Linked DNA regions of Arabidopsis thaliana. The protein of the gene in region 1 interacts with the protein of each later gene in a pairwise test. Each region holds a gene or a part of one and is shown on either strand. Other genes may lie near its edges.

Region 1 (3,830 bases):
GATTGGCTATGGATCTTGAACAACCGGACCTGCCGCCGACCCCGCCGCCGGAGGAGGTTGTTGTTCTCTTAGTGGATATGGGAGCTAGCTCTTTTTTGGATCTCGGAATGTGGACATCGGAGACATCAGATTTGCAGGGGAGAGATTTCTTAAGTGAAAACCAAACACTGGGTAGCTTTTTTTTCTTTTGAGTATCGGTGTTTTCTCTCTGTATCGTCTTCTTCTTCTTCTTCTTCTCGCTTCTTGTGCTTGAAGCTTCCATTTTTCTATCCTCTCTAGTCTCTTTTGTCTTCTAAGACAATAAGAACGAAAGAAGCAAAAAAAAAGAAAAAAACGTAACTTAACAAGAAATTTTTTGAAATGAATGGTAGCGAGTTTCTATTTTTTTGAATTGGAGAACCTTCTTCTTCTGGCAATTTTCTAGGGAGAGAGATAGTGAAGAGAATGGGAAAAATAATTATTGAGTCGTCAGAGCTCTGAAGATAAGAAGATACACAAAATTTGAAAATTTAAATGAAAACAAGAAAATACTCCCAAAAGTGTTTTTAGACTCAAAATAATGTTAGTTTTCTTCATCATTGTTAAATTCATATGTATTGGATACATGGGTTGATGGTAATATGAAAGGTCTTGAATATGGACAGCACAACGCAAAGTACAACAAACCAAGTGGAATAAGGTCGGAATCAATGTGGTTTAACGTAAAATGGATGGAACAAATAGTGTGAAATGGATATAAAGAAAATTTGAATGGTGTTCGTATTTACTTCTTATGAATTTTTCTTTCATGTTGTTCGATACGTCAAGACAATAGTTATTGTACTTAGGTAACTTAGCTATCTATGGTACTATTTGATTCACGAGGCCACAGTAGATTTGGTTGTCTTCAGACTAAAAATACAAGTATGTACAATCTCACATTTCCCAAATCTAATGCTTCCAATATGTTTTGCTTTTGCAGTTTGGATTGTATTTAAATCTTCATATACTGTCGGACAACGATACCTCCACAATATGTGTTTGTCCTTCGAACAAGCATTCGAGTCGAGAAACAAAAAAAAAGATTGGAAGTATGACTTGTCAATACCAACAAGTATTTTGTATTAAAAATTCTCATTTCTACAGTAACCTAAAAAGCTGTCTGTTTTCATAAATTTCCAATTACTTTTTCCTTTTCTTTCTAACACGAATAATGATTTTTTTAGGTCATGAAACGAATAATGACTATGTTGTGATTTTCAAGCATTAAAGACATTTCAACATCCTACACACTAAAGAACAATTCAAGTATTGTACATCCACCGATCTTTTGTTAACATCATAACCATCCCACCACGTTCACGTCACTCATTTTTTCAAATGTCTCTCATTGGGTTTACTTTCTTTGTTATCCATCTTCGGAGAAATTAGCTTGACATTAATACTTTTTTGACAAATTGTAACGTTTTCTCCGGAGATGGATAACAACGAAAGTAACGTTGTCTAAATTAATATTACAACTTTTGAGTTCTTACTAACTGAGAAGATTTGTGGCTTTTCAGCCACCACAATATGTCATACAACTTGCAACTGTTATTATCCAAATTTAAACCCACATAAAGAATACGTCTAAAAAGCAAACAATAATCATTACAACACTTAGTAAGTTATAACTTCTCCCTAACTTCTTTGAAATTTTGATAAAAAGGAAAATACATATGTACAAGAAGTGAAGAAACAATTTATTTGGGCCGAACAGTGTTAAATTTTGGGCCAGATAACGTTAAAATAAAAAGGAGTATTTCTATTTAACAAGCCCAATATAGCCCATATAACAATCCATTGAAATCATCGGAGAACCAAAAAAAGGACAAAGCAGGTGGGCGCACGAATCTCAAATCACGTCCCTTAAACTTGTAACAATCTGACGGTGTAGATTATCGATCCATGCAGTGTCATATCATTGGTCAGAAATATTTTCTATCTCGCCACTATATTAATCATCATGGCGGGTTTCGCTGATACTCATTATTGTTATTTTTGACAGAGAGAAATTTCTCAGTTACGCTTCATCCTCCTCTAAGAGATCTTTTTTCTATCTTGGGTAGTAGAGAGAAATGGCGGGTCGGGGAAAACAACTTGGATCTGGTGCAGCGAAGAAGTCTACTTCTCGTAGTAGCAAGGCTGGGCTTCAATTCCCTGTTGGTCGTATCGCTCGATTTTTGAAAGCCGGTAAGTACGCCGAGCGTGTTGGTGCCGGAGCTCCGGTCTATCTCGCCGCCGTTCTTGAATACCTCGCCGCTGAGGTAATCAGTCTCTTCTATTTATCACCTGTTTAATTTACTCTTTTTACCGAATTAAATGGTTATAGCTTGCATCTAGGGTTCTGGATTTTAGATTTTCTTACCCCTTTCGTTAAATTATGCGAAATTTGGAATATTTTAGAATGCATTAGTTCCTTAGTTTGTTTTTTTCTTGGGAAAAATTGTCCATTTTTTTTGTGTAGTTTTGAGCTCAATTTGTGTTTCTTTGTGCTCATCATGCTTATCGAAATTAGGGTTAAATTTGTTCCTTACTACTTTGAGTTATCATAGTTGGCACTGATTGATACTGTCAATTGTGTTCTCAAATTCGAAAAATGTTGTTGTTCACTTAGTTTTGTCTTTGGATATGTGAACATGTCTGCTTGGGAACTGAATTTGGTGCGCTCACTTTCTATAGGTACTTGAGCTTGCTGGGAACGCAGCGAGAGACAACAAGAAGACCCGTATAGTTCCACGACACATTCAGCTTGCTGTGAGGAATGATGAGGAGCTAAGCAAGTTGCTTGGAGATGTGACAATTGCTAATGGAGGAGTGATGCCTAACATCCACAATCTCCTTCTCCCCAAGAAGGCTGGTTCATCTAAGCCTACTGAAGAAGATTAGGTTCATTACGAAGATAGGGAAAGCTGGAAACTGGTTGATATCAGATAATGCTTAGGATTGTTTTTTTTTTCATTTGCTTTTCCTCTGCAGCAATGGAAGCTGTGTGGTTGTACTAGTTGTTAAGGTTACCTTTGTTTCACTTTATGTGAATATATGAAGAAATTGTTCTATTTCAGTCTTGACTCCACTTCTTTAGCATTGTTCACTGATTCATTTGTTGTTCCTGAAAGTCAATTTAAATTCCTTCGATAAGCTACACGAAACTGCACACATAGTCACATGTAACTTGTTTTTAAACTTTTTGTTTTGTTTTGTTTTTGGTTGAAAACTCGAGAAAAAAAGAATCAGTAGACCCATAATCACAGAAAAGTCAAGCCACCAAGCGATTCGACATAGACAGTGGAGAAGTGACGAGATTGAGAGAATCGAGGCGAGAGAGAGAGAGAGACAGGGACGATTCGGTTTAGAGCTCTCGTATGAGGTATATTTCAATTTCGTTTTCGGCGATATCTTGTGTCGCAAATGTCAATAAAACGAAATTTAGTAGATTGTTGATGAAAGTCATTGGCTATAGACTCTGTTATCCTAAAGAAGATTAGTCCATAGACTCTGTTACCCCTCCAGGTTTTAACCAAGACCCCCCCTACCTTGATCTCTGAATGCCAGTTTGATGCGTCATGGCATGGAAATGATCTACTTAGCAGTCATGGATCTCGTAATAGCCTTTTCTCGCATGTAAACTTATTGGTTCCTGAATGGCTATGAAATAATCTTTGGCATGTGTTCGAGAGCCCATAGAGTCATGTTCAGATCGAACGCAAGAGCGTTGAATAGAGCATTGGAGAGACTAAAGAATGTGCAGACCAAGGTGAATGAAGCTCTTAAGAGATCAGGGATCCAAGAGAAATCTTTGGAGCGAAAGC
Region 2 (6,318 bases), on another chromosome or scaffold:
GAAAAGGCGATCAAGGGAAATTAGGTTACTACTGTGATGTATGTCAAGGTTGTAGTAGAAATTAGACAGACAATAGTAACAAGTAAAAACTAGCTACAGTAAAACCTCTATAAATTAATAATGTTAGGACTACGAAATTTTATTAATTTGGAGAGGTATTAATTTATCGATAAATTAATAAATATTAATTTATAGAGAGATTTTCCTAATTTGGTAACTTTTAAAAAAATTCTATAAGATTTTTTTCATTATAGAAAATATTTTCCTAGAACCAGTTACAAGTAAAATATAATAATAATGTCTAGAAAACAATACCAAAAAATTTGATCCAATAAAATATGAAAACTATAGTCAAACAAAGAACAAATATGAATTTAAGCAAAAATATATTATAAATATATTTTAAAGAATTTTTTTACTTATAATATATATATATATATAGTTGATATATTTATACAATTATTAATTTATGATATTGATAGGAACATATATTTACATAGAATTTTCAAAACAATTATTATCTTATTAATTTATCGATTTGTGTCACTTTTTACACTGGTCCCAACTCAGGACCGGAAAATTTTATTAATTTACAGAGGTTATTAATTTATAGAGTATTAATTTATAGAGGTTACACTGTATATGTGTAGTTAGAAGCTTTTTAGTCATCACATGATTTAAATTTATTTCTAAGATGAAATAGACAATCTTTAATTTATATATATAAATATTATTTGGGTTACTCGTATAAAGGTCTACCACTTTTCAGATGTTTAGAACTCTCTCTTCCTTTCTCTATCTAACAAACCCTAATGTCCATCCAATCAGTTATCCAAACTAAAAGAAGTGGACTCTAACAAACCCTAATGTCTAATCAGCTGTCCAAAATAGCATTTGGCTCATCCCTAACTAAACCTGAAATATATCAAAAAGTTAATTACCAATGAAAGCATATAAAAAACATTTGGCCACTTGCTTTCATGCTGGTCCCAGCTTTTGCACCCTTCCGTAGCCACACTACTCTTCTCCTTTTTTTTTCCTCTTTCCCCATTTCTATGAAATAGTTGTCTAGATTTTACGAGTCTGCACATCCTCATATATTTTTTTATTGATTTGGTGATCCAATTTTTAATATGAAAGAATGAAAAAAATATTGGGGTCTTTTTAAAAATGTAAGTCTTAAAAAAAAAAATATTAGAGAGAACCATATATCATATGAAAATGTTGATTTCAGTTTATCAATTAGGATGATAAAACTATTTAGTGTATTATTAAATGGTACCTTCGAAAATTTACATAATTTTTTCTTAATTTGTGTGAATTTTGTTTATAATTAATGATACTCTTAGGAAAAGTGAAAGAGAGTGAGTAGCTTTTTATTTATTTCTGATTTGCATTTATATTCAAGATTTAGAAATGAATAATACAGGTAAAATTTTCATCTATTGCTAACCATAAATGCCAAGTTTTAAACAATCAACCTTTTTATAATTCAGCAGTACTAGTCTACTAAACAATCATACATTCGACAAAAGAAAAAATTCAACCCTAAATTTGATTGAAGTATCCCACGAATAATGTCGAAGAGGAAATGTTCTCATCTACCTTTTTTGTTGCTGTTGTTGTCATCAACGTTCTCATATACCAATCTTTCTTTATACCATCGATATTATAGTATCTCAATTTAGTGTTCTTGGAAGGAAGGCCGACATACAATATTCTCGCGCATACAAATATTCTTCCATTACTACATACAACATCTTGCATATAGCCGACTCCCCCTGGATTGGTTGTATAACATTATGATTCAAAATATTGTTTAGGCAATCATCACTTTTAAAAAGAATTATATATCGAACTTAAATTTTGTAAATTGCTTTAACATAAATATATATATATATATATATATATATTTTTTTTTTTTCTTAGTAATTTTATTTTCACCATAATAGATATAAACGATGTATAGTAAATCATTGACGAAAATATTTTTTCTACAATTTTTTATCTATTCCATAACATTTAGTTTCGTCTCTTTTAAATAAAATATATCGTTTTTTATTGCCGTTAACTAATGTTATAACAAAACTGGTACATTACTACATTTTTAAAAAAATTACTTAACTACTATGTCCATCTCAGTATTTCGATAAGAATTTTTTTTTTTCTTATGGTACGCAACCCCATGAGTGAAGGGACCCTACTCGTTAAAAGACATAGAACATATAGCCTACATGGAAATTCCCAAATCCTTCACATTGCATATAATAATTTTGCCCCTTTAACTCTCATCCTCTCCTTAGGCTTATGTATTATCTTCCCATTTATTCAATTACCTTTATGATCACTTGGAATAGTTGTTGAAGTACAATACCCGTTTTTAAGGCAAGTGTCTGTTCGGGTTGATATATATATATATAGAGAGAGAGAGAGAGACTATATCTTTTCACCTATATAATTGCTCTCTTCTTCTATCTAAATCTTCAACACAAACATCTTGTTTGGTCCTATTTCTCAGATCGATCATGGCTAACTCTGTGATGGCAACCGAACAGCTCTGCTACATCCCTTGCAACTTTTGCAACATAATTCTTGCGGTATAATTGCTATACATATATATCTATTATATCTGCTGTTATATTATATATAATGGATCTATGCTTCTCCAAATATCGTATATATAAAGATATAATCAAGCATAGATCTACCTTTAATTTCCTTTGTACTATATATTGGTTTCTGATAAAGAGTGGTGAAGCTCTTTTCATCAGTTCCACTATCTTACAAATGTTCAAAGTTCTTATTCATTTAAATCTGTTTTAATTTATTTTTGTCAGTGACAAATATTTCATTTAGCTTATGGTGCCAGAGAGAAGTCACCATCCTTCTGCTATACATGACTTTTTTCAGCATCATATAGATTTATTTTCTGCTCTTTTCCTACTTTCCTCAAAGGAAAATCCTATTACGAGCATTTTACTTACCATTTTAAGTTATGACTCATAAGATAACCTATTTTAAAATGGCCATGCATATATTTGTGTTCCTTTTCTTTTTTTTTTTGTCAAAAATATGTGTGTTCCTATTCACTAATCTATAACAAATTGCGCATATTGAAAATGGAGTCACTTCCGGATCTTAAATGGTGGCTACAGCAAAACTTCAAAAGAGAAGATAATCATCTCTCAAGCAACTACTTTTGTTTAATGTCATAAGATTAGATTGCATTATTTCTATTTTGCCTTCTAAACCCATAAAGAACTTAACATGTTACCCAAAAAAAAAAAAAAACCCATAAATGATAGGAATATCTGATCTATATTAACAAGACAAGCAACAACTTTTTCTCCCTTGTCTAATGATAATTATCTTATAACAAATTTTAGTAGCATAAATTTTAGTATAAGCTTTTCGTCGATCTATGTCTTATGGATCATCTAGTAAACAGATCCAATTTTCCAAGAAAGAAGATCAATTAATTAATATTTGAGGTTGTGTTTGGCTAAAACGTGTAGGTGAATGTCCCATGCAGCAGCCTGTTCGACATCGTGACCGTCCGATGCGGTCACTGCACCAATCTGTGGTCTGTAAACATGGCAGCTGCTCTTCAGTCGCTTTCACGCCCTAATTTCCAGGTAACATCTCTCTCCTCAATTGTGAAGGGTTTATTGTAAATTTAAAAAAAAAAAAAAAAAAACTTGAACCAACCCTCTGAAATTTAGGGCTCTTTTGTTTGTTTTGAAAAACGAATGATAGACAGAAATCTGAGCCTCTAGTTGCATGTTTCTGTCTCCAGCCGCCGTCTACATCTACATAGCCCCAAAGAATTTAATATTACTTAAATATTTTACTCTTTTCAAGTCATGTTTAAGTTTATTTTTCCAGCTGTTACTGATATCTGCAGCCTTTTCGTAATTGCTTTTTCTTCATAGAGCCCTAGCTTTTGTTTGATCTATTACTGCTGTCGGTTACTTACTCTATGATTTGATTGACATGAATGTTAGGGTTTCTGGTTTCATAGGTTTGTTTTGTTTTCTATAAAATATATATATCAGATTCCTTTCTTTAAAGGTTTTGTCTTTTAGACTTTAACTACTCTTAAATATGAATGAAATATCTTTTAGTTGGTCCACTTTCTTTTTTCTCTTTTCATTTCCGAAACTAGACAATACATACATGATTGCTACTCAATCCTATTGATTCACCATTTTTGGTCTGAAAAATCAAAGAAAAGGCCAAGTGATTAAATACTCTAAACTTCTTAGCATTTATACTTTTATCAGGCAACAAACTATGCAGTACCAGAGTATGGATCCTCCTCAAGAAGCCACACAAAAATCCCTTCAAGAATTTCAACTCGTACCATAACTGAGCAACGGATTGTAAACCGTCGTAAGTATTGCTTACTATATAAACCTAAAGAAGTAAACATGAAAAGTAATTTGTGTACTGTATATGCTAAAATTATTATATTGTCTTTCAGCTCCGGAGAAGCGGCAGCGAGTACCTTCTGCGTACAATCAATTCATAAAGTAACAAAAACATTTTAGACATACATATATCTATATATCTATATAATGTTCAAATCTGTTAAGAAAGAGGTTATTGATTTGTGTGTTTATATTAAAACCTTTGAAGAGAGGAAATTCAGAGGATTAAGGCGAATAATCCAGACATAAGCCACAGAGAAGCATTCAGCACTGCTGCCAAGAATGTAAGTTTTTATTTCTTTTATATGTTCAAACAGTTTTATAAAGTACTATAAGCTTTTTTTAGCCAAAAGAAATATCTTAAGTTTTAGTAACCAATAAAGAATTATTGCGGCCTCCTTATTTAATTATAGTACATATGTCATAGTAGATGTTTTTTTTATTATTATTATTTTTTATTTTTTTATAGTTTTTTACAAATTCGACTTGGAGACCTTATGATTTGGAAGATACTCCATTTAATTTTATGAGTTGTGTTTGAAAACATATTTTAAGACTAAACACGTAGAGAACATTCTTAACAAATTTGTAAATAAATAAATTTAACTCTATTCTCTAGGATTTAAATATTATAGGTATATATATAATTTTCTAATAAGTTTATATCGAGTCACTCATACGAGTTGTGTAGAAAGTTAATCACGGGTACCAATTTTAAATTAAAAATAAGAATAATTATATGATCTTAAATTTATACAACTCTGATAAAAGATTGGGCTTTGACATCTTTGAAGAAAACTAGATTTAGTAATATTCTGATTAAATTGGGTTCACACTTTGTAGTGGGCACACTTTCCTCATATTCACTTTGGTCTAATGCTGGAGAGTAACAAGCAAGCTAAGATAGCCTAATAATGTAAGTGCTCTGTTCTATTCATCAATTGTTTTAGAGATTCACCTTAGTTATAAATTTTATTTTTATTGTAAACTAACATAAATTTTACTTTTATCTGTCTTGTTTTAGTCTCGAGATTAATGGTAATATAAGTGTTGGAGACTTCGAAGTAACAAGAGCTGAGAAGGCAACTATATGTATTGTATGATCTTTGGAACCGTATGTATGTAAGTGAAGATGTCTATCTTTAAAACCATCTATAGTTATAATTTAGTAAAAGCTTCTTTTAATTTATTTCTATGGCCCTTGTTGTATGGTTCGTCTCACAAGATTTATGAGTTCTTTCGGATATATGAATCTAAAATAAAAAATATGTAATCTATATTATGGTAAACCTATCTTATACTTGAATTATAAATAGTAAATATTACAATAAGTATTTTTTTTCTTTAACGATGTAGCAAATTCTCTATGAGTTAGTGGTTTTGTATCTTGTAACACGGAAACATTATTTTAGCTTTCGGGATACGGTTGTGGTTCTAATTCTTATACTGAATCATACACACGAGATCTAATTACGATGTAGCAAATTCCCTATGAGTTAGTGGTTTTGTATCTTGTAACACGGAAATATTATTTTAGCTTTCGGGATACGGTTGTGGTTCTAATTCTTATTCTGAATCATATACACGAGATCTAATTATATTTGACTCCAAAATACTGACCAAGCTTCTTTTTGATTTTCAAAGCTTTGATGGTGTATAAGAAGTCCTTATAAATTTTTTCTTTCGGATCTTCTAACAGGGAAACAATACTTTAGTACTTTAGATTTGAGATTCGGTTTTAGTTCTAATTCTTATACTTACTTATACACATGAGTTCACTCTCGAATAAATGACTCTCATTTATCCTAATTTGTTAGTTATAACAATTTTCATTGATTGATTTAATTGATAAATAATATTTTTGGTGTTTTTCCTATTTATCATTTTG

Evidence for each region.
Region 2: the proteins of HTA2 (region 1) and YAB5 interact in a two-hybrid assay, tested with the Arabidopsis thaliana proteins (one large-scale study listed by BioGRID).

The regions. Positions count from the first base shown.
Region 1 is NC_003075.7:13,636,592-13,640,421, reverse strand, and holds HTA2 (histone H2A 2), read left to right. Parts: upstream 1-1,986; 5' UTR 1,987-2,096; coding exon 2,097-2,285; intron 2,286-2,700; coding exon 2,701-2,907; 3' UTR 2,908-3,186; downstream 3,187-3,830. Other genes in the region: AT4G27240 (zinc finger (C2H2 type) family protein), read right to left, coding at 1-262; AT4G27220 (NB-ARC domain-containing disease resistance protein), read left to right, coding at 3,686-3,830. UniProt on the Arabidopsis thaliana protein: Core component of nucleosome. Nucleosomes wrap and compact DNA into chromatin, limiting DNA accessibility to the cellular machineries which require DNA as a template.
Region 2 is NC_003071.7:11,302,947-11,309,264, reverse strand, and holds YAB5 (plant-specific transcription factor YABBY family protein), read left to right. Parts: upstream 1-2,254; 5' UTR 2,255-2,525; coding exon 2,526-2,597; intron 2,598-3,515; coding exon 3,516-3,635; intron 3,636-4,283; coding exon 4,284-4,392; intron 4,393-4,483; coding exon 4,484-4,532; intron 4,533-4,638; coding exon 4,639-4,714; intron 4,715-5,273; coding exon 5,274-5,342; 3' UTR 5,343-5,346; intron 5,347-5,454; 3' UTR 5,455-5,810; downstream 5,811-6,318. UniProt on the Arabidopsis thaliana protein: Promotes adaxial cell identity. Regulates the initiation of embryonic shoot apical meristem (SAM) development.